Caenorhabditis elegans: one gene and its partner. The protein of the gene in region 2 interacts with the protein of the main gene of each other region in a pairwise test. Each region holds a gene or a part of one and is shown on either strand. Other genes may lie near its edges.

Region 1 (4,544 bases), on a different chromosome or scaffold from region 2:
TAGGCAAGCAGAAAGTAGACAGGCAGGCATTAAGTTAGAACCAGGGAATGAATAATGAAGGCATGTATGAAGCCAGGCATAGGAAATGCAGTTTTGAGGTGCGCCTAGGCAGGTAGGTATGAGGTCAGAATAGGCATACGGGATCTGAGAATCAGGTAAGTGTGTGTTGCGTGTAGTTCTAATGCAAACGCGTAGGCAGGCATGGGGGAGCTCAATATTAATAATAAATCGTTATTAGGCAGGCATGCGGCAGGTAGATAGGCATGTAGGTAGGTGCCGTAGACAAGAGATATATTTGAAACATTCAGGGAAAACAAGAAGCCAAGCCGGCGACACCATCTGCTCGATCTGAAACCAGTAAGAAAGTGAAAAGGAGATATATTGCGAGAACACCATCGGCGCATAAGGTATAGAATACGTTATTCGACGTATTAAATTTTCCAATTTTCAGATTGAACAGATTGAAAAGAACTGGAAGAAGAAAGAGGAAGAAGCGAATAAAGAGAAGTTGCTGAAGAATGCACGGGCGGCACGAAGAGCCAAAGAAGATTTTATTGTTCCGGAGGATAATACGGTTCAAAAAAGAAAACTCGAGAGCACACAACTGTCGTCTGCAGTTTCCACGAAATCCACTAGAAGTATTGGAAAGAAGATTTTGCCGCCGAAATCATTTGAGCTTCATTGATAAATTTTATTTTTTAATTTTGTAGACACACAGACAGATGTAATCGTGCTAAAAATTACGATTTTGAAAAAAAACAATTTTTCTTTTTCTTAATTTTTTTGAATACGAAAGAATGAATTTCCAGACTGAAATTTTCATTATTCATTAATTTTCGCACGCGTAAATTTTTGGAGAGGAAATAAAAAACCGCGATGCGAGTTTGGGTTTTGCTGTTCACAGTTTGTTCAACAAATTTATTATGAGTATTTTTTAAAGGTTATTTTCTAAAATTCTAGACCTGAATTTCGAGCGAAACTCATTTTCAAATCTCCTCCTTTTTTGACCCATCAATAGAGCGCGCCTTCTCAGCTTTCGAGTCACCACCGATTAGAGGCCTGTGAGACCTCGTGTCATAAAAATTTCTGAAAAAAAGCGTGGATAATTCGTATCAGGACACGAATAAAGTTAATATTTTAAATGATCCACAGTGAAATTAACATTTTCATTGAAATTTTCGTCTTTTAATGATATTTCAAAACGTTTCCTTTGCGGTTTTCCAAGTTTCCACTTCTTGAGTCTAGAGATCTCGAGTCCGTAGATACTCTTCTCATTTTTTGGAACAGCGTTCGTTCTCGATTCGGCAGTTAATTTTTCATTTTAAAACATTTTTAGACTTCAAAAATAGTTATTTTTCAGTTTTCTTCTCAAAAAATTTCCACATCCTCTGTTGTTTTCATTCAATAGAATTCAGAGATGATTTTTGATTTCTGTATGTATAAAACCATTTGTGATTGCGTATTAAAACGATTGATCGACAATTTCGTCGTTGGTTTTATTCGTTATCAGCTCTAAAATTCGAGAAAAATGTGCAGACGATTAGACGCTTGGTTTTTAAATTTCTCTTTACAAGTTTAGCTTTAATTTTCTTTTTTTTTCAGATCGGGCAGAATTGGAGTGATGACAGCATTGGAAAAACTCGCAAAATTGAGATCCTTGTTCCATTCGGAACGGGTTCTCGCGCTCACTTCCAGCAAGCCGATGGTCGCGTATCTTCTCCCAAGCACTGACGCTCATCATGTTGGTTTTTAGGCTTCAAATAATCTTCTAAATGTTAATTTTCAGAGCGAATATCTAGCCGATTACGATTTTCGAGTGAAATTCCTGTCTGGTTTCAGTGGTTCCAATGCCTACGTTGTTGTTACCGATAGAGAAGCTCTCCTTTGGACTGATGGCCGATATTTCACTCAAGCCGGGAATCAGCTTGATTCCAACAGCTGGAAATTGATGAAACAAGGACAGCCCGATTCGATTACTGTCGTTGATTGGCTTGTGAGAGAGCTCGAGCGTGGATCCGTTATTGGATTTGATCCAACTCTGTCGACGTTCGACGCTGGTTCCAAGACATTTAAACGTCTGAAGGCAGCAGGTCTTCAACCAGTCTCGATTCCTGGAAATCTAGTCGACGAGTTCTGGACTGATCGGCCAAGACTCGCTGGTGAGCCAGTAAGTTGATAGATCTATACTGCGGGATTTAATGTTCCACTTTTCAGGTAGTCGTGCTCGATGTTGAAGACACTGGTCTTACAACTTCAAAAAAAGTCGAGAATCTTCGGGAGAAGCTGAAACAAAAAAAGTGCGACGCAGCTGTATTTACTCTTCTTGATGATGTTATGTGGCTTCTGAACATTAGAGGAAGTGATATCCCGTACAATCCTCTTGCATATTCATATCTCTTCGTGGCAATGCGCGAGATTCACGTATTTATCGACAATGAGAAACTCGATGAGAAATCTCGAGCCCATTTCCACAAATCGAATGTATCGATTCATCCATACGGAGAAGTCTATTCATGGATATCCAATTGGCTCAAGGCAAAAGAAGCGAGCAAAGAGCCTCACATGGTTTATCTCACACCAGAAACTAATTACGCTATTGGAAGCATTATTGGCGAAGAGAACTCGATGGTTGACACTTCCCTGGTTCAGGTAATTCCATGAATTTCTTGAAATTTTTGAAATTTAATCTTTTTCAGACCGCCAAGGCCACCAAAAACGATCATGAAATGCAAGGAATGAGAAACAGTCATGTAAGAATGGCTACAGCATCGTTTAGGATATAATTTAATTCTTTCTAGCTTCGTGATAGTGCTGCTCTTGTTGAGTTCCTTTGCTGGCTCGAAAAGGAGTTGCTCTCTGGAAAAAGATACACTGAAATCGAGTTAGCTGATAAGATAGACCATTTGAGAAGTCTTCAAGACAAATATGTTACTTTGAGGTTCGTTTGTTAAATATTTAAAACTACATTTAATTTATATTTATTTTCAGTTTTGATACCATATCAGCTGTCGGAGATCACGCAGCACTTCCCCATTACAAGCCTCTCGGAGAAAGTGGCAATCGTAAGGCTGCAGCCAATCAGGTGTTCCTCCTCGATTCTGGAGCTCATTATGGAGATGGAACAACCGATGTGACGAGAACTGTGTGGTACACGAACCCACCGAAAGAGTTCATTCTGCACAATACTCTTGTATTGAAGGGACACATTAATTTGGCACGGGCCAAGTTCCCTGATGGTATCTATGGTTCTCGTTTGGACACGCTGACTCGTGATGCTTTATGGAAGCTTGGTCTCGATTTTGAACATGGTACTGGACACGGTGTTGGACACTACCTTAACGTACACGAAGGACCGAGTAAGACGAAAACAGTAAATGTAACTGTTTGAATATTTATTTTCAGTCGGAATCGGTCATCGTAGTGTTCCAACCGGTGGAGAGCTTCATGCCAGCCAAGTGCTTACCATTGAGCCAGGATTCTATGCCAAGGAGAAGTACGGAATTCGAATTGAAAACTGTTACGAAACAGTTGAAGCTGTTGTCATGTCTAAAGCTCAGAACTTCTTGACATTCAAGGTATACCCAGATCCCAGGAACTTTATAAACTTATTAATTTCAGTCTCTCACTTTGGTGCCTATTCAAACTTCGATCGTCGACAAGTCTCTTCTGATTGAAGAGGAAATCAATTGGCTCAATCAATACCACGCTCGGGTTCTGAAGGAAGTTGGTGAACATCTTCAGAAACGCGGAAAAACGGATGAGCTGAAATGGCTCGCAGAAGCCTGTAAACCAATCTAAATATCTGGAACAATTACAACATGTTTTATATTATTTTAACCGGTCAACGTCTTGTTGAGCAAATTTGTGCTCAATTAACTATTTTTTATCACAATTTCTGGATCCTGGTGTAAAACTTATTCTCCCCGAATGATTCATCCGTATTCCCCTTTTTTTCTCCTGTCGTTCTTTCTCGCTTTTCCGTAGATTTCCTGTACTAATACTTGAGAATGAATCTTTTTCTTTTGTTAGTTGGAAAATTGAAACATAAATAACAATGCCGGCTAGCAGGTCTTAACAACTGTAAGCTAGAATGTTTGGTTGACGACATTTTGCTGTCGGATTTTGACATCGGTGCAGAGATTCAAGCCAAAGTGCTTACAAGTGAGCCAGGATTGGATGTAAGGTTAATAACGAATTTGAATTGAAAACTGTTGCGAAACTGATGAAGCTGTTGTGAACTGCATTCTCATAGATCCAAGATTCTCGCTTTTAACTTCTCCTCGATTTCCTGTATTTACAAATTCTTGAAAATGAATAATTTTTATTTGTTGATTCGTAAACTGAAATATTTAAAAAAAAGAAACAAAAATACGGACCAACGGGTCTTAACAAGTAAACTAGAATACGGTTTGATGACACAGATGAAAAATAATTAAAGCTTGAATATCAAGCACTAGTTGGCCGGCTTCATATAGCTGCCGCTCGCGGGAAATTTGAATTTTTGCGGAGATCTGTCCACGAATGGCTTCTTATTCTTATCGGCG
Region 2 (4,487 bases):
CAAAGTTGATTGTAAGTATATAATACTTACCACCTAGACTCTTCTAATCGTCGATTCGGCTGCATTAGTTTCTTCTCTTAACTGGACAATTATTTGCCGCTAAACAAAATGGGCTTATCATATTAAGAAACAACAGATATTGAAATCAGATTACAGATTAAGTCACTTTACCATGAAAAAACGCAAAATTCTAAATAAATTCATTATTTCAAAAACGCGATTATTTAAAGCCAGAAATCAAAATAAACTGTTTGCCAGTTTGTTTCTTCGAGTCCGGATAGACTTCATCAATTGAATCCCACCATCCAGGTCCCCAGACTCTTCCAAAACTGTTGGCCGAGCGAATCGATACGTCCAGATCTTTTCCCATTAGTCCAACAAAACGAGAATTTTCGAGGTTTTCAGAGAGTTTTACAGGAACATCATTGTAATCTGGCTGCCTGAAAATTAACATTTTCTTAAATTTATCAAAACTTAAACTCCCGACTTGTTGAGTCCTTCCGCGCAAATAATTTTAACTTCATTTTCGATATTATCCTTGGCATTTTCTGTAGTTGATCTCCAATAATGACTACGGTAAATGACAATATTACTCTTTCCAGGATTATACGAAGTTATATATTGTTCAGCATTTCCATAAAAGGAATTACTTTCCGTTTCTCCCTTATTATCATAAACCATTATATAGAAGACATCGCTGAAAATGGGAAAATGAGAATAAGGCCAACGTTCAATTATTTTCCTCGACGCCTTCTTCCTAACGGTAGAGTAGGCGTAGGTAACATTCAGGCAAGCCTTGCCAGAAGTCTTTTTTAGTGTTTTTCAAACAACTCACGAAGTATTAAACCGCATGAGCTCCGTTTTAATTAAAACTGCCCTGTCATCATTTGTCACATGCATATCATTTTCAATCACATAATCCACAATTTTCTTCACATTTTGGGGCCAAATGTAGTCCATTTTCAGAGGTATTCCCGAAGCTGAAATAACTTTCAATACGATTTTCAAGAAAATGTTCAAACTTTACTTTCAACATTTTCTGTTTCAATCCATTTCTGAATAAAATATGTAAGCCCAAATGCGATTAATCCACACAGAAACAAACTTATTAGAATTAGAAGCAAACACTGTTTGGGAGAACTGAAATCCGATATATTTAGAATTTGGTACATACTCAAATATTGAAAAAAACCTTACTTTTCACAATCTGTAGTACGTCGGTTTTGAGACATCTTCACAGGACAATGTTTAATGTTTTTAAAACAACTTATATAGGTAGATGAAAGATAAGGAGGAACGTGTGACAAAGATAATCTTCAATTTCACACAACTTTTCAAACGGAAATTCCTTAAGAAATGAGGAATATCATCGAGAAGAGTGAACATAAGACAACTGTTCCACTGATAAAAATTTTTTAAACCGGTTTCAATGTTCGTTTCGTATCTGAAATACTTTCAACAACTTGATCTTTTAGTTGTTACTTCCCTTTCATTGGAGACAACTTTCGTTGACTTTATTGACTTATGCATCTCAGACATGAACGCACACAAGACCCCCTTTTTCGGCCTGCTTAGTATATACTACTATACAGTGGTTAGTACTCCACGTTGTGGCCGTGGCGACGCTGGTTCGATTCCAGCAGCAGGCAACTCTTTTACTCCAGCTTCATCTGACAAAATTACCATAAATCAGAACGAAAGTTGTCAATGACTAAAAAAAACGTTGACGAAGCGCTAATGTTTCCAGGTGACTGATTTTTGAGAAAAGAAGTTTTTTTTCGAAATGAAAGAAGCTGTCGATATATTTACCTTTAGTATTATAAAATTCTTAGAACCTTAATTTAGTATTATCTTCAGCTAATTATACATAATTTGTTGAGAAAGTACATCCCACGCGTTCTCATAAATTAATACATTCTCAGTAACATTTTCTATTAATTTCCTATAACATTCTCCCGGAACTATAGTGTCTAGAAAGCCTATAATCAATAATACCAGTCTAAAGAAACAATGACGCCTGTAACTTTTGCAAATATCAAAACTGTGATTCAATTTATTTCCGTTTTTATTTCAATATTCATCAATGCTCTCTCCATCTACCTTATCGTCACAAAATCTCCAAAAATCATGGGAACATATCGGCACTTGATGATTTATTTCTGCGGTTGCTCCATGGTCTTTTCTGTACTGGATGTGATTGTTCAACCGGTAATATCAATATTTTTGTTATATACTTTTGCAAAGATTTCACAAAAAGAAATGGTTTTTTTACCAAAATAACATAAAGTACAAAAATAGCAAACAAGTACAAAAATAGCACAAGCGGACATTGTCTTTGTTTAGAATTTGAAACGGGAAATTTTTTATAAAAATTTTGTAAACTAATAAATAATACGATTCACTTTTCAGTTAAGAATAAAATATGAAATGAAATGAAATTAATAAAATATCAAATCACCATCAATTTACCAAAATTTTCAGAGCATTGAAACCTACAAAAGTGCGTTCCTAATGGTTGTTGATGTCAAAAACCGATCTTTAAATTCCTGGTCAGCAGTATTATTTATGAGTAGGCTGACCAAATTCATTAAAACTGTTTAAAAATTTTTTTTCAGATCTTCTTTGCGGTTGTATCGGAGTCACTGTATATGGAATTGCTATTCATTTTATTTATCGGTTATTAGCGCTAGAAAGGTAATTACTTTGGCATTACTAAACTGCAACTGCATTGAATAACTGATTGATTAACTGCTAGGTGCAAATTTAAAATACTCTTATTAATATAATTATTTATGCTAGATAAAATTAGACAAATTTAGTAAATAACTGTTTCATAATTGTCTTAAAATATCCACACAATTGATAAAAATATTATTTGCGGCAAAACTCTATGTCAATTTCAGAAAAGGCCGACTCCGGTATTTCAATTGCCAATACCTACCCATTTGGTTTAGCATTCCGATTCTCGCTGGAACAATATGGTACATTGTGACTGAAAATATTTTTGGAATGAACCCAGTAAATACGGAGTATATCAGGTAGGAAAATGTTTTGCCTATGCCTACCTATCCCAGATGGTCTCCACTTCGAGAAGAAAAACATTAATTTATGTGCACTTTCGCAGTAGGTACTCGTTAGGTAGGTAGGCACGGAACATACCTAGATCATTTTTAAGTGTTTCATTTAAGATAGTTTTGAATGTTTCATGTTGTACATAAATACAACAATATTTATGATATTTACTGAATACATATCTCAATAGGCTTATTTTCATTAAATATTGTTCTAAGTGAGGGCTATTTTTTAGAAACCCCGTTAAAGACTCTTTCAACATGAAAATGGAGGATTGCGTGTACGGTGCAGCTGTATTCTATCCAATTGATAAAAATGGTATCAAAACTATCAGTTGGATCTCATTTTTTGGATTAGGGTGTTACTTAACACTTCTAACAATTCCATTTATTTCAATCTTGGTTGCTGGAGCAAAAAGTTGGAATCATGTTCAAAAACTGCTCGAACATGGAGAATCCGAGTTTGCCAGGAATTTGCAGATGCAATTGTACAAGGCCTTAATAGCTCAGGTTAGACAAACTGAATGTTTATAAAGTTTTCCAAACTATTTCCAGACTCTTATCCCAGTGGTATTCTTCTTCACACCATTTGGTTGTGTATTTGTACTTCCTGCATTTGAAATTGAATGTCAATTTATGTCAGCTCCCATCACATTGGTTTTTGCAATTTATCCCGCAATCGATCCTTTACCCAATTTGTTTTTTGTGGACTACTACAGGAATCCTATATCAAGTTGGTTTTCAAAAATATTGAATTGTTATAATTTATAGAAATTAACTTAATCTTCAGATTTTCTCCGCAAAGTTTGGTGCAGAAAGCCTAAAGTCGAAGCCGCGACAATTAATTCTACATTGTGAATATTTTAAAAAGTACTGTTTTAATAAAATTTTGTTTTAAATATTCATCTAATAATTATTGATGATCCCTATGAACACGGCTGTGAGACTGATAGTGAAAATACAAAAACTTTGTGAAATTAGCAAATATACCTAGCAAACACTGACATGAAGACATGGAAAATGACATGGAGACAATGTAATAGTCTATTTCAGCAAAGTTTATTTAAGGTTTTGAAACAGTAAAGTTTTTCCACGAAGCTGTGTTTTCAAAGTGTTTTTCAATCCGCGTTTTTCGGTGATTTTTTGCTTGTGGCAGTGGGTTGAATACATCACTGATATTCAATTTTTTTATTCTAAAAATTCTGGTATTTATGTAGAGCTTAAGTTTCTCCTACCGCAAAGAAAAGAACCGCATAATTTGTTTGAATTTCCGTAATGTCAGTTAATTAATGCGAATAATTACTTACCTTTGTACTCAGTATAATAAAGTACCATAATAGTTGAGCTTTATTCAATCAATCTGCATATCAACTTTCAAAAATTTCACAAAAAATTTGGAACGCTTCACGAATTTGC

Evidence for each region. Proteins that work in one complex are often made in the same cells at the same time.
Region 1: the proteins of str-173 (region 2) and app-1 interact in a two-hybrid assay, tested with the Caenorhabditis elegans proteins (one large-scale study listed by BioGRID).

What each region holds. Positions count from the first base shown.
Region 1 is NC_003279.8:4,964,148-4,968,691, reverse strand, and holds app-1 (Xaa-Pro aminopeptidase app-1), read left to right. Parts: upstream 1-1,602; 5' UTR 1,603-1,621; coding exon 1,622-1,741; intron 1,742-1,786; coding exon 1,787-2,167; intron 2,168-2,214; coding exon 2,215-2,649; intron 2,650-2,696; coding exon 2,697-2,750; intron 2,751-2,798; coding exon 2,799-2,938; intron 2,939-2,988; coding exon 2,989-3,356; intron 3,357-3,402; coding exon 3,403-3,575; intron 3,576-3,618; coding exon 3,619-3,798; 3' UTR 3,799-4,025; downstream 4,026-4,544. Other genes in the region: W03G9.5 (Protein kinase domain-containing protein), read left to right, coding at 309-407, 452-685; Protein pid-4, read right to left, coding at 4,454-4,544. UniProt on the Caenorhabditis elegans protein: Catalyzes the removal of a penultimate prolyl residue from the N-termini of peptides, such as Arg-Pro-Pro. Has activity towards the flp-9 neuropeptide KPSFVRF-amide.
Region 2 is NC_003282.8:4,860,175-4,864,661, forward strand, and holds str-173 (Serpentine receptor class r-10), read left to right. Parts: upstream 1-1,598; 5' UTR 1,599-2,010; coding exon 2,011-2,208; intron 2,209-2,481; coding exon 2,482-2,569; intron 2,570-2,615; coding exon 2,616-2,694; intron 2,695-2,872; exon of another isoform or gene 2,873-2,896; intron 2,897-2,903; coding exon 2,904-3,038; intron 3,039-3,243; exon of another isoform or gene 3,244-3,264; intron 3,265-3,307; coding exon 3,308-3,581; intron 3,582-3,626; coding exon 3,627-3,804; intron 3,805-3,861; coding exon 3,862-3,929; 3' UTR 3,930-3,975; downstream 3,976-4,487. Other genes in the region: Y17G9A.4 (Peptidase_M15_4 domain-containing protein), read right to left, coding at 221-440, 488-697, 836-980, 1,028-1,140, 1,198-1,232.